Caenorhabditis elegans: one gene and its partner. The protein of the gene in region 1 purifies or fractionates together with the protein of each later gene. This does not show direct contact. Each region holds a gene or a part of one and is shown on either strand. Other genes may lie near its edges.

Region 1 (8,044 bases):
GGTTTTATTTATTTTGATTTCTTTATGTTACAAGTTTTTAGTTAAAAATATATCTATGTTCAAAATGTATTCTCCGTGCGTTGTCTCAATCGAAGAGGAAGTTCCCAAGGTACAGTAGAGCTGCCAACAAACATTTTTATCGTACACCACCAAACACACCACCAGACTATTTAGTCTTCTTTCTTTTCCTTTCAAAAAGTACACCAGCAAAACTGTTTGCCGCCGGTACTTCCTCAAATCGTTGTCTCTTTTTCTTATATCATAACACACAGTTTTGCCCAAAGAACTGACAAAGTGTACTTGTCGGCTTTGGTTACCTTACGGGATTAACATTTGAAAGAAGATTGGACGGTGCCATCTTCATTTCAACCTCCCGCCTTCTTATCAATTTCATTGTGTGCGTGACACCAACTTTTTTTAATAGCAGAAAAATGTTTCAGTACACTTTTCATTTTGATAATCAGCAGAAACCCTTCTGTTACGAGCAGTCTGCACCCTATCAATCTAACAACATTTCAGAAAATCATGACGGCCGAGGAAGATACTTTGCCTGAAAGGCTGAGGTTTCACGGAGTTCACACAAATATTTTGGCAAGGAACCTCATCGCCGAGTTTTTTGGAACATTCCTTCTTTGTGTTAGTTTTAAGTTTCTTGAATAGTAATTTGAAAATTTGATTTTTTTTTAGTTTATCGGTCTTTCAATTGTTTTCCAATTCCATGCTGGCGGTGGAAAGACAACTGAATGGATTGGAGTTAACATAGGATGGGGATTTGCAATTATGTTTGCAGTTATGGCAACAGCTAGGATGTCAGGTAATATTTCTGTGAATCAAATCTTCTGCTCAATTTTCTTTTTATTTTAAGAACTTTTATCAACATCTTTCAGGTGGTCATCTCAATCCAGCTGTTTCCCTTCTACTTTGGTCTCTTGGTCATCTCAAACTTGCTTGGGTGCCACTGTACGCAATTGCTCAAACCGCTGGAGCTTTCGTGGCTTCTCTTGGAATGTACTCTTATTACTATGGTATCCTACTTATTCTCCCTGTTGAAATTATTTTGAAATTTTCAGAACAATTCAATGCATTTGATGGAGGTAATCGCACAATCCTCGGAGCTACTGGAACAGCTGGTTGCTTTGCCAGTTATCCATCTCCAAATCTTGGAGTATGGGGTCCATACATTGATCAGTGCGTCGGTACCGGAGTTCTCGCATACTTCCTCTGCGTTGTTATTGATGAGAGAAATCAAATTCCAAAAATTTGGCATCCAATGTTCTTCGGATTCTTGGTAATGATGATCGGAACTGGATTTGGAATGAACATTGGATATCCAATTAATCCAGCAAGAGATCTCGGACCACGACTCTTCAGTTATTTTATCTATGGTCCAGGTGTTTTCCAGTTAGTTCACAGTGTCAATTCACAAATATCTCATATAATGATTTCAGCTCTCCATACCCTAACTATTGGCTAGCTCCAGCCATTGCTCCATTTGTTGGTGCTCTTGTCGGTGGATGGTTCTATCATTTCTCCCTTGGAATGCACAATCCTGACATCGAAGAAGCCGACGATATTTTTGTTCAACAACCACCAAAATCTGTAGAGCAACAAAAATTGCTTCAAGCTTAAATCTAATAATTATGTACATTTTTATTGAATTTTCAAATGTTTAAAAAACATTACTACATATATAGTCTTGAATCAATAAATTAGAAAAAAACTTAGAAAACGATGTTGAGCAATACAGCGAACATAGAAATGAAGAAAGCAACAGTTGATGAGGATCCACTGTCAACCAAATCAGAAAGTTGAATGTTTGGATTGAAATTATCTTGACTGGTATAGTTGATAACAACATTCTTTGGAGCCCAAACGAAGTTGGAGATCATTTGAACTGATGGTCCTGCACGATCATATGGAACCATGTGTCCCGCTCCCTTTACAGTCAGAAGATCAATTGTGATCATAGCATTGTTCTTATTTTTGCCAGAGTAAGTTTGAACATATCCAGCAAGTTGTTGGTTGTTACTGTAATACCATGGGGTACGTGGCCCACTCTTAAAATATAATTGGAATATTATTTAACGGTAGAAGTGACTTACGGTAAGTCCATTATCTTTAGCAACTTGAAGAATGTGCTTGGCATCTCCCAAATAGTTACAAACAGTATCGACATCTCCATTGTAGATTAAGAAACGGAAGTCGGTTGTGAGATTTGTGATGATATTGTTGAAGAATCGATTGGTAGTGTTGTATTTCAGAGTATAATTATTATAGATAGACATTCTACAATCTTCCCATGTGTTTTTCTGATCCTTCCATGCTTGTGGAATGTTGAGAGCATTCTGCACATTGTCACTGTTCAAATACTTTGACACAGCATCTTCATTCCAGCAAAAATATCCAAATTGATTGTCATTTGAGAAACGGTTGACAAGAGTCTGAACAATGAAGCAAGCGTTTCAATTAACAAACTAAGATAAACTAACAGCAGTGTTCTTTGCCAAATTGGAAGTTCCTTGGAAGTTTCCGAGTTGTTGATATTGCAAGTTCTTCTGGACCGAAGATACTCCTTGCATAGCACTTCTCTTGTGTCTCTTTCCTCCAGCTGGTGGTGGGGCTTGAAAGACAGATTTGTCATAGCATTCTTGGTAGAAGTTGTACTGGTCAAATCTGAAAATTACGTTAAATATATAAAATACAAAATCTCATACCCTTCATTTCCTAAAGCGTTTTGCGAAATGAGTGGTTGAATGAGGTTTCCGCAGTATGAGCCATCTCCTACGTAGTCAATTTTATTTTGAGAAGTTGTGAATTGAGAGAAATCAAAACTGTCAACGTCGGCTCCCTTTGAACAGTTTGCTTTGATGTCGGCCCAATTCCTGAAAAAATAAGTTCAGTTTAAAACGAACAAAACAGTTTTAAAATGTTCTTACTGCTCAGAGACACGTCCATGGTAGGCACTCCAAAGGGTAAGGGCATTGAGAAGTCCAGCTACATTCATGAATCCGTTTCCAATTGCAGAACCCTAAATTAGACATGTTTTGAAGTAATTGTGTAATTATTTTACCTGGAAGTTTTTGTTTGGAAAGGGTTGATTGGGATTGTTGATTCCTTGTACAATCAAATCGGTCAACATTGGAATATAAATTCCTGCATACGATTCTCCAGAAAGATAGAATGTTCTGTTCGTATATTTAGGTTGAGCACTGAAATTTAACATTTTTCTGTTACGTATCTAGACTTAAAATTCAATTACACATTGAAGAAGTTTGTGAGAGCCTGATAATTCTGTGCAGCTGATTGATCATCATTAGCTTGGAAGTATCCTGGAGTAGTAGTGTCATATGAATAACCAACTCCAATTGGGGATTCTAAGTAGAGAACGTTGGCTTTCTGAAATTTTAAATATTAAATTTATAGTTTTTATTATCCTAATACATGTCCCTGTCCCTTTTTATGTTTCAATTTGGTTTCATTTTTAAACTACACAAAGTTGTGTTTTATGTGCCTAAATTTGTTATCTATACAATAAATGAGGTTTCAACGATAAATTGCAAAAAGCAATAAAACTTGAAATTTGCGTAAGCAAGACTATTTTCTATTCAAACTTTCTTTTCTCTATCAATTCAACGAGAACTAAATATCATAACGTGGTCTTCGAATGGTAATTAGCAAACCGCCTTTGATCGAAAAGAGTTGTAGTCTAAACTGAAAGTTATGATTATCATTTCGGTTTTCATAGGCAACCGAGTGTTACAGGAATCTGATTTGAAATTCTTTTAACTACATAATAAAACTCTGGTCTTTGGAATTGCAAACAGCTTATCCTTTTCCCCAAAAATAATAATTACCGCATTCCATGCATATGGGTTCTCATAAAGAGTTTGTCCATCAAAGTTAACATAAAATGGACCAAGTTCTTCGAAAAGTCCTCCAAGAGATGAGCATCCTGGCCCTCCATTGAACCATACCAATAATGGATCAGTATCTGGATTTGATCGAGATTCTGTCAACCTGGAAGCACAATTTCTTTTTAATTTGTATTTCCAATAATTTTATCAGTTTTCGCATGGACAGCGAAAAACGTTATCAGTAAATTTTTAATTGTATTTGCAGAGAATTACACAAGAATTATGACTGAATTAGATGACTACTTGATGCTTCGTGAGGTGGAAATTTTAAATTAAACAGAAGAAATAGTGACAACAAAATGAATTGATGATTATTCAATTGAGAAATGACATTTCAAGGGAACTTTTGAAATTTTGATGAGAAATACGTTTTGAAGTTCAATGAGTTCCGAAAATAGAATGATCTTCAATCATTGTGTAAACTGCGAAATTTCACAAAAAAAACGTGCATTCGAGTAAGGAGTATACTTTTCAAAGAAGATCTAAGAAACTATATGAAAGCAAAAAGCTGGAATTTTGAGAAATTTTGAGAACTAATGAATTCGAAAAAAATACATTCACTAATGGTTCACTTGAAAATAAGACTTCAGATTTCCAGATTTGCCGAGAATATAAAACTCACATATAATGCATTTTCCATGTTCCATTTGCATTTGCATCGACATATCCAGAATATGACTTGAAATTGGCTTTGAACAAAAGACCGGGCAGATTCTGGATCAAATCCTTTTCTCCTTGAGATAGGACCGTCACAACTAGAAAAGCTACACCAAGTAGAGTTCGACACATTCTGAATAAAATGGACTCTCAATGATCAGAATTAATGAAAATCGTAATAAAAAATCTATAAAAATGCGGTAGACTCTAAAGAAATGAAGGTTGCATAGAGTTGCTAATTGATAAGAAGAAATATGCTTATCACTATAATAATTCGCTTTTTGAAGCCATCCTTTTTATGGTGTCGTATTGAAAAAAATGTGTTGCGAGTGCCAGTATGGAAACAAAGTTCGAGTCGTAAAAAATACTACAATTCTGGCTGAATAGATGTGGGTTGGGTTTACCTGTCAAGAGCAAATAATGACAAGAAATAGAGAAAACTTTTTGGTTCTGATCATTCTCCACGAAAAAGCTTTCAAACTTAGAAACTTAGAATATGGAAGTACGCTTTTGAAGTGACAAATTTTTTCATCACGCTTCATTGTAGCTGTTTCAGTTTAGCCCTTTAAAACCTGTAAATCATGAAAGTCTCTGACAAATAAAATGACCGTATTTCCCCTATTAGACCCCTTTGCTCTTGTTTGACAGTCTCAGTCTCAGTATCTCAGTTGTCTTTAGTCATATTAAAGAAGTGTCAACGGACAAAACACGTACAAAATTTTTCTCTATATTTTGATTGTTGAAAATTTTTTGATAAACGTTAAGGCAACCGAGATATAAGCCGTCAAACCACAGGTGCAAGTAAAATTGAGAAAATATGCTATTTTAAAACAATAAAGCAGCCGATGACAATCAGGGTTCCGCCATTCACGGGGAAAAACGTGCGTTAGACCACGCCTTCTTTTCAAATGTAGATTTTTTGAAAGGCAAAAGTCCGATTTAGTTTTTCAGAGCGGAGGACGATTTTGGAGATGTGCAGATTTTTCAAAATTTTTTTAAAGGAACTTGATAGAGCACCAAAAATTACGATGTTTCATCCAAATCTCAAGTTTCTACGTTGGATATGAGGGATTTTATCGATGAAAATGGATTTTTTTTGGAAAATGGCCTGTAACCTATATTGAAGTTGAAGTTATTTGAAAAAAGTTTACAGATTATTTTTGAAAATATCTATAAAATGTTAAATCAATAAAAATATCTCACAAAAATCTTTCTTGTGGTAGATACACCGTTGTAACGGAAGAGGAACCAAAGTTTTTGGACGTTTTTTGGTAAAATAACTTTGAAGTCATGTATCTCTGAAACTAGGATACTTATCAATAAGCAGGTTTTTGTGACAGACAGATAAGATATTTTCCATTAATTTCTCAGTCAAACATTTTGTGCAAAAATTTCTGCTTTTCAAGATATACTTGTCACAAAATTGGTATTTATATAGCAATTGGAAACATTAATTGAGAGTTAGGTACTTTTCTCGCTTTAAGCTGAATTTCTCAAACAAAACAAAAAATATTAATATGAACTGAAGCTCTGTAAACTTTTCATACAATTTTGAAGCGTTTTTTCCGACTGGCAACTCTTGGAATATACTTTTCACCTGAAAAACTGTTGCCACTCTTAGATTCTAGAAATTTCAAACAGGAGTATTTTGACAACTAAGCATATTCAAAAGAAACTGCCTGCTGTGAAATTGATTGAAATTTCAATTCCTACAGTTTGCATCTAGTTTTGCACCAGTAAGGTTGGTATTTCCTAGAGATAGTAATCCATGAACAAAATTGCACAAATAATCTGAAACTAATTTTGATGAAACGGATGTATCTCATGAAATAAGCAAGTTATGAATGTCATATAAGTTAAAATAGGGTTTATAGATATTTTTTCACATTTCTCCACAAAATCTTTCCAAGAATTCAAACTTCAGTCGAGTTACAGACCATTTTCCAGAAAAATCCATTTTCATCGATAAAACCCTTCATATCCAACGCAGAAACTTGAAATGTGGACGAAACATCGCATTTTTTGGTGCTCTATCAAGTCCCATCAAAAAAATTTTGAAATTTCTACACATCTCCAAAATCGTCCTCCGCTCCAAAAAACGAAATCGGACTTTTGCCTTTCGGAAAATGGCAAAAAATCAAATTGGGATATTTGGGTCGAAAAATATGTTTTTAGAATGCTGAGAACACGTTATTTACGAATATCATGTTCATTTTTGATGATTTCTGTTTTGAAAAGATCTGAAATTAAAACGTGGACCTAATTTTCATTCTCGCGTGACACTTTTTATTTCCTTAAAATCACTTGAAAAACCGATCGAATTCTCAGTTATTAAAAAATTCACGTAAGAATCAATTTGCCTTCGATTTATTTTACTACGATTTATTTGTTTATTGATAATCAATAACGTTATTTATCTGTACAAGGTTCTTTGGGAAAATGTGGACCGTAGCTGTTATATGCACATATTTGATTGCTTATTAATTGATGATTTTCAACTGTAAAATGGGGGTCGCGAAGATGTAAAGCAAAATTAGAAAATGGCAGTACAGAACTGTGGAACTGTTGGTTTTGGTGGAAGAGTAGTGGAACTGGTAGAAGCTGGAGTAGTGGAAGATGGTTGTTGTCTTTGTTGTTGTTGATTGAACCTATCTCCTCCGAACAAAGCTGAAAGGAAGTCAGATCCACCGAAGAGGCCTTGAACTTGCTGAAATTAATGAATCTTGAATTAATAGCTTTTAAACTTTCAAACTCACGCTTTGCATCTGTGATTGAACGGCATTTTGGTAAGCGGTTTGTTGAGTATCGAATGTTTGCAATTCAGAAATCTCATCAGAAGAGAGGTCACGAGCGTATTGTCCACCAACATAGACTTTGTTGCCCTGAAGAGAAGATTATAGAATTGTGGTTTGACAAATAAGAAGGCCAACTGTACAGTAATACTGTTCATAATTCTTTAATTCTATTTATAAGATAAATCTTACTTGAACCATGCATCCATCGAAATAGTATTGAGTAGTATCTTCAGCAGTACAGAATGATGGTTTTTCTGGAGCCTTTGGAATTGATCCATCGTCATTTCCTCCCTGGCTGCTGACATCATTGCTTTGTTGTTGTTGATTTCTTCCTTGAGACATCAAACGGTTACGGAGGTTTTCACGACGTTGGCTGAGAATATTACGGAGTTGCTGAAAAAAATGCCAAGTCATGTTGCACCGTTATTGGGGAAGCCCTCTTAAACGTTGGGTTTTCATTTTTATTAAAGGAAAATTCAAAAATCTATAAATTTCATGACGTAGAATGAGACCTTCCAGGCGGTCGAGGAGTGACGAGGATACCTATAAAACGCCTCGTCACTTGATCTTCTCGCGCCCTGCTGGTGGTATGTGAGTGCGAGAATGAGTCGCGTCACTGTGGAATTCCTACTTCAGACTTTCCATCGGATTTAACCTTATTGGCAAATACTGTCCAAA
Region 2 (5,713 bases), 1.7 Mb from region 1:
TACTCGAGTCAAGTCTTTTGGTCTCGAATGACATGGCACAGAGCAAGACAAAAAAAACGAGACCGATAACGGCTCCTAGAGGACAGCCGCCTTCTCTCATAAAGTGAGGGTGGTGAGGTGATATAGTGTGTAGTATAGAGAGAAATAAACATTTAGTTAATGGGATCCACATTTTCAGGGTAAAATGTGTTGGAGACATTCAACAAATGGCTCGGAGAAATGTTTCGAATTGTGGGAAAAAAACTGGAGGAAAATTGAGAAAAAAAGAGGGAAAACTGACAGTAGAAAAACAGAATATTGCTCCAATAATGCACATGAAAAATGCAATAATTCTTTGAGTTCGAGTCATTCCAAACATACTTTCATCTTGAGTTGACGGCGAAAACCATCCGGAACTCTTTCTGAAACTTGATTAAAATGTTTTAAACATATGAGAAAATTTGAATAATGGTGTACTGAATCGAGGAATTGTAGTATTGATATTACTGTGATAAATTTTTGATTAACTTAACCAATTATCCAAAAACAAAATATAAATTTCAATCTAATTGAGTTGAATTTTGCAACGGATATCTTTGGCATTTTTTTATGAATGAATACTTTAAAAATTAATACATGGAAAATTTAACAAAATATATTTTCAGATTTTTTTTTGTTTACTTTAAAAAATTACGATTTTTCGAAAACAATTTAGTCATAGTTTTGGCTCAATACCAATTTAATTTGGTTTTTTTTAGAAGTAAGAAGCATTTCGCATGTTTGGAAATTTTAAATGTTCTAAAAAAATATTCAGAACATTAAATAAGAAGTAAGATTCGTAAAAAATCCTTTTTTTGGTTGACTTCGATAATTATAAGTTTCTAAAGCTGAGTAATATCCAATTTTTGACTGTAAATTTTAAAGATATCCTTTTTTGAAATGCAATGATATTTTGTCGTTTTAACACAAAAAGAGTGATAATATTTCCCGGGCTTGCAATTTTGCGCAAAGAATACGGTGTCCGGTCTCGACACAACTAATTTAATTAAATTCAAATAGGTGCGCGCCTTTAAAGAGTACTGTAATTTCAAACTTTCGTTAATGTGAAATTTTCGTCGATTTTTTATAGCTTATTCATATTTTAATTTTTTAAATAAGTATATTTTTACCGAAAAACTATGTAAAGTCGATGAAAATTCAGCGGCAACGAAATTTTTAAACTACAGTACTTTTTAAAGGCTCACATCTATTTTTGTTTTCCAAAAAAACGGCGTGTCGATACCGGCTACCGTATTTTTGTCGCGAAAATCGTAAAATTTCGCTGATAAGTGAACATAGCTTTTGGAAATATTTTTAAAACTTTTTTCGAACTGCCAAAAAAGCGTTGAAAGTTTTTGAGTAATCTTATTATGAAATTTAAGTAATTCAAAACCATTTTGAGTCTATTAAAACGAAAACAATTTTATCCGTTTCTCATCAGTTAAAAATTGAAATATATAATATTTAATTGATATTTGCCTACTTAGGAGTATTTAATTCAAAGAAATCAAGATTTTCAGTTTATTTTTTTTTGTTTTTCTGAACAAAACATACCGATTTCTGGAAGCTGGCAATTGTCCATCTCCAGAATCATCTCCAACTAATAACTGCTGACTATCGGTTGTTTCGCTTCGGGAAAGTAGGGAAAATCCTCTGAAACTTCAAACTTTATACATTTCTTCTAAGTGAAATTTGTTACCCAATAGACGTTGGAAGCTTGTTGCGAAGTGAATCAAATGAAGAAAATGAAGCTGAACTGCTGATACCACTTCCTTTCTTCTTCTGATCATTTATGAACTGCTCTAGAGCAGACATGCCCTTTAAATTGTTGTTGTAAAACATTTATTGACATCGTTATCATAGAAACCTTTCTGGCAGAATACCAATTTTCAACGAGGGTGAATTGCGATTTTAAAAATGAATGATTTATTGGAGTTTAAGAAACTACATACACAAAAAGAAAACTTTTAAACTAAAAAAAAAGAAATCGGCTCGAGATTTGAAACAGATAATTCTAATGATGACCATCCCATGAGGTGGTTCCGTGAGTCTTGTATTGGTAAGCTTCTTCAACGAAAATCAAGGCAGCTGTGAATGCAACTCCAGCTTTCCATCCAGGAAGAATCAACTGAAATTTATTAAATAATTTTAAAAAATTCCCTAAATACATTAATATAATTTTTGGAAAATCGGCTTGCTCGGAAATTTTCCAAACAAGAGCACATTTATAGGATACAATCCATAAAAATTTTTTAATATTATGTTGGTATTATATTAATAATATTTAATTCATCTCGAAGAAAACACGAACCTTCTTGAAATGAGCCCATTGTCCAACAACGTGTGGATACTTTCGATCGTACAAGTAGACGTAGTTTCTGAAAGAAAAATCAATAATATATTTATTAATATTATCGATAAAAAACCGACCTGATCCATGGATCCTTCAATCCGATTTGAGCGAGTCGTTTTTCATGCTGCGCCAACTGTGGAAAATCGCGAAAATTGCTGTAGATTGAGTAGTTTGGGATCTTAAACGGCTCGTGATGTCCTCCACCCATTCTGGAATTAAAATAATTGAAAAAAAATGTTTTAGAAACCTGTATTATGAAAATAAATGAAGAGAACGATAAAATCAGAAAGAAATGCCAGCCGAGTTTGTGTAGATTTACGCGGTGTGTAAGCGTGCGGCAGTTGCGTTTTCCGTCAGAGCGCAACTGCGGCACACTTTTCTCAATCAATTGTCAGGAGATTTTGGCTTGTTCCAACGCACCACTTTTGTTTTGGCTGTATTTTCAGATTCTCAACATTTTTTCTGCTTTTTTAATAAAGGAAAACTTTAACCATGTCGAAACGTAATCAAAAAGTGAGTTTTTATTCGGAAAAATCAATATTAACTAGAAAAGAACGATGTTTTAATTCAAATTTCAGGGCGTATCTACGGAAGATGCCGTAAAAATGACGAAGGAGCAAGAAGACATTGCCAAATACATCAGATTCAATTGTCCGACAGCCACGACCATGTTTGAAGGAAACGAAGTTCATTATTTCAGTGGTATGTACAAATTTCAATTGTTTATATTAATATCGCATATATTTTCAGGAAATAAAGCTGTCGATACTCTTTGGGAATCCAAGTACGGAAATAAAGCAAAGAAAGATGCAATGTTTAAAACAAGGTGGGCATTCTGTAGAAATTACGTAAATTTAAATAGATTCTAAATTTTCAGAGATGATTGCTTCCATTATATTTGCGAACTCAACTCGAAACAATTATTCTTCCGTGCAAAAAAATTAGTAGCAAAGAAAAAAGAGAATAAAGATAAAGGAAACGATTCTTCTGGTAATCATAAAACTTAAAAAATATCTTAAAACACGTTTTTTTCAGCTGAAGTTACCAAATCTCCAAAAGGTGTAGTTGAAAAGAGAAATAAAAAAGCCAAAGAAGAAGAAACAGCAACCGAAGCTGAAGGTGATGAGAAAGAAGTGAAAAAAGACGAAAAGAAAGACGAAGAAAAAAAGAAAAAGAAGGTGAAGCTTCTTGTACATGAAGTTCAAGCATTCGTCGATGACAAAGATGTCTACGTTTGGGTATTCGATCCAACTCCTCTCATGAAAAAGATTATTGGAGTACTTATGCGTAAGTTTTCCCTTTTTGATTTGTTATTTCCTGCTTTAGAAATGATTCAATGTGTAAAATTAAAATCCAATTAATATATTTCAGTCGTCGGTACAATTGTCGGATGCTTGTTCCCTCTATGGCCTGTATGGCTTCGCCAAGGAGTTTATTACGTATCAATTACTGGAATTGGATGTTTTGCAGCTATCATTGTCACTGCTATACGTGAGTTGTTTCAACAATAATATTCATTTTTCGATTATTTTCAGTCCGTACTATTCTTTTCGGAATTATCTACGCTGTTACTTTCGGAAAACACAAACTCTGGGTTCTGCCGAACTTGACTGAAGACTGTGGAGTTCTTGAATCATTCCAACCATGGTATACTTATGAGTATGTTGGTGATGAGAAGAAAGAAGCTAAGAAAGATAAGAAAGATAAAAAGTCGAAAAAAGAAAAGGATTCTGATGCAGAAGAGGAGGAGCAAGACCACATTGCTGCTGAACAGGAGCAAAAAGAGGAAGAAGACGATGATGCTGAAAAAAATAGTCAGGCATCAACTGATGATAATTATGAAAAAATTGAAGACGAGGTAATCTGATAAGTGTTTCAATTTAAATAATTATAATTTTGAAATTTAGGAAATCTCTGCTCCACCATCACCAAGTGACGATGCTCCTCGAAAACGTCGTCCAGCTAAAGTCTAGAAATTTAGTTTATCCTGAAATTTTTCCATTCCACATTTCTGCATTTATGAAAACTTGTCCTGAAAATCTATTGCATTACCCTCATCCTGTCGGTTTCGTCACATTTTAAATACTATTTTTCGTCCCATTCTTCCATACTGTGATTACCCTCTTGGCTAGTTTCTTCTTTCTCAGTCACTCTTCATTGTTCTTGCATAACTAAAATCTGAATGTTTCCGTTTCGGTCCACTATTGGACATATAATAAATTGGTCTATACAAAAGTCAAACAAGATAATTTCTTCATCAAACTTGGCTCATATAACAATAGAAAATTGAATAACTTGAAACATGCCAAAATGAATGTAGAAAATAATGATATAAATATGTGGAGATGGGGGGAGAAAGAGGAAGTACGACCCGTGTTGATTAACACAATTCCGAATCGGACTGATGGAACAAGAAAAGGGAGATAAATGTGAAAAGATGACCATCACAGCACATCAAAAAGACGTGGTTAAAGCATGAATTGTCTATAGAGTGTTCGTAGAATGGAATAACAAACTATTGAGGCCGATTCTGCTGCAACGCTGGCCATTGGGATGCAGACATCATTGGATGTGGTCCAAGAATTCCAGCGCCAGTGTTTGGGGATCCATTGTTTGCGTGTTGTTCTCGAATCGCATTCACATTACGTGGTGGGCATCTGCAAAAAGAATGTTAACAATATTTTAAAATGAGCCAAGTAATTGAAACTCACCCAAATGGAATTGGATTTTGACTCATCGGAGGTTGCTGTAGATTTGGTTGATAATTGTTCTTTTGCATATCATTTCTATTCTGTCCGAATTTTCCTGATTTGTTCTGCTGCTGCTGTGGCTGATGCTGCTGTTTTCTACCATTATTCGGATTGTTCTGGTTGGAATTTCCGTTTTGGTAGAACTGACCATTCTGAGGCTGTGACGAATATGATCGCTGCTGACCTTGCTGCTGCATATTCCTATTCTGATAGTTTTGACCATTGTTGGTCATACATCTATTCTGCATTTGATTCATCAACGGCGGGGGCTTTGCTGTCGGCCCACTGTTGCATGGCATCTGATACATCATCGGCTGTCGATTCTGTCCACGACCAGCACCATTCTGCTGTGGATAACTATTCACCTGATTTCTTTGGTTCTGTTGATTCATCACTTGGCCATTTATAACCTGTTGGTGTTGCTGAGGCGGTTGATGTTGAATCTGTTGGCATTGTTGCTGTTGTTGTTGAATTTGGTGTAGTTGTCCTGCATTCATTTGATGGTGCAGTTGTCCTTGGGGTTGGAAGTTTGGAGGTGGGTAGGCCATGTTTGGTAGATTGTACGGAATGTAGTTCTGAAACTATTAATAGG

The links. Proteins that work in one complex are often made in the same cells at the same time.
Region 2: the proteins of ctsa-3.1 (region 1) and ndub-3 fractionate together in Caenorhabditis elegans (co-fractionation; one large-scale study listed by BioGRID). This does not show direct contact.

What each region holds. Positions count from the first base shown.
Region 1 is NC_003280.10:7,229,513-7,237,556, reverse strand, and holds ctsa-3.1 (Serine carboxypeptidase ctsa-3.1), read right to left. Parts: upstream 4,705-8,044; 5' UTR 4,704-4,704; coding exon 4,537-4,703; intron 4,018-4,536; coding exon 3,855-4,017; intron 3,397-3,854; coding exon 3,260-3,396; intron 3,210-3,259; coding exon 3,071-3,209; intron 3,029-3,070; coding exon 2,937-3,028; intron 2,883-2,936; coding exon 2,715-2,882; intron 2,674-2,714; coding exon 2,490-2,673; intron 2,442-2,489; coding exon 2,103-2,441; intron 2,058-2,102; coding exon 1,722-2,057; 3' UTR 1,637-1,721; downstream 1-1,636. Other genes in the region: aqp-1 (Aquaporin), read left to right, coding at 520-636, 688-814, 888-1,025, 1,071-1,401, 1,449-1,629; F32A5.4 (uncharacterized protein), read right to left, coding at 7,105-7,278, 7,328-7,453, 7,556-7,759.
Region 2 is NC_003280.10:8,962,311-8,968,023, forward strand, and holds ndub-3 (NADH dehydrogenase [ubiquinone] 1 beta subcomplex subunit 3), read right to left. Parts: upstream 2,581-5,713; 5' UTR 2,580-2,580; coding exon 2,449-2,579; intron 2,397-2,448; coding exon 2,330-2,396; intron 2,147-2,329; coding exon 2,033-2,146; 3' UTR 1,932-2,032; downstream 1-1,931. Other genes in the region: sftd-3 (Vesicle transport protein), read right to left, coding at 281-401, 1,573-1,671, 1,718-1,833; sec-62 (Translocation protein SEC62), read left to right, coding at 2,864-2,884, 2,950-3,073, 3,122-3,197, 3,249-3,361, 3,407-3,658, 3,743-3,862, 3,907-4,229, 4,279-4,344; szy-20 (SUZ domain-containing protein), read right to left, coding at 4,887-5,028, 5,083-5,696.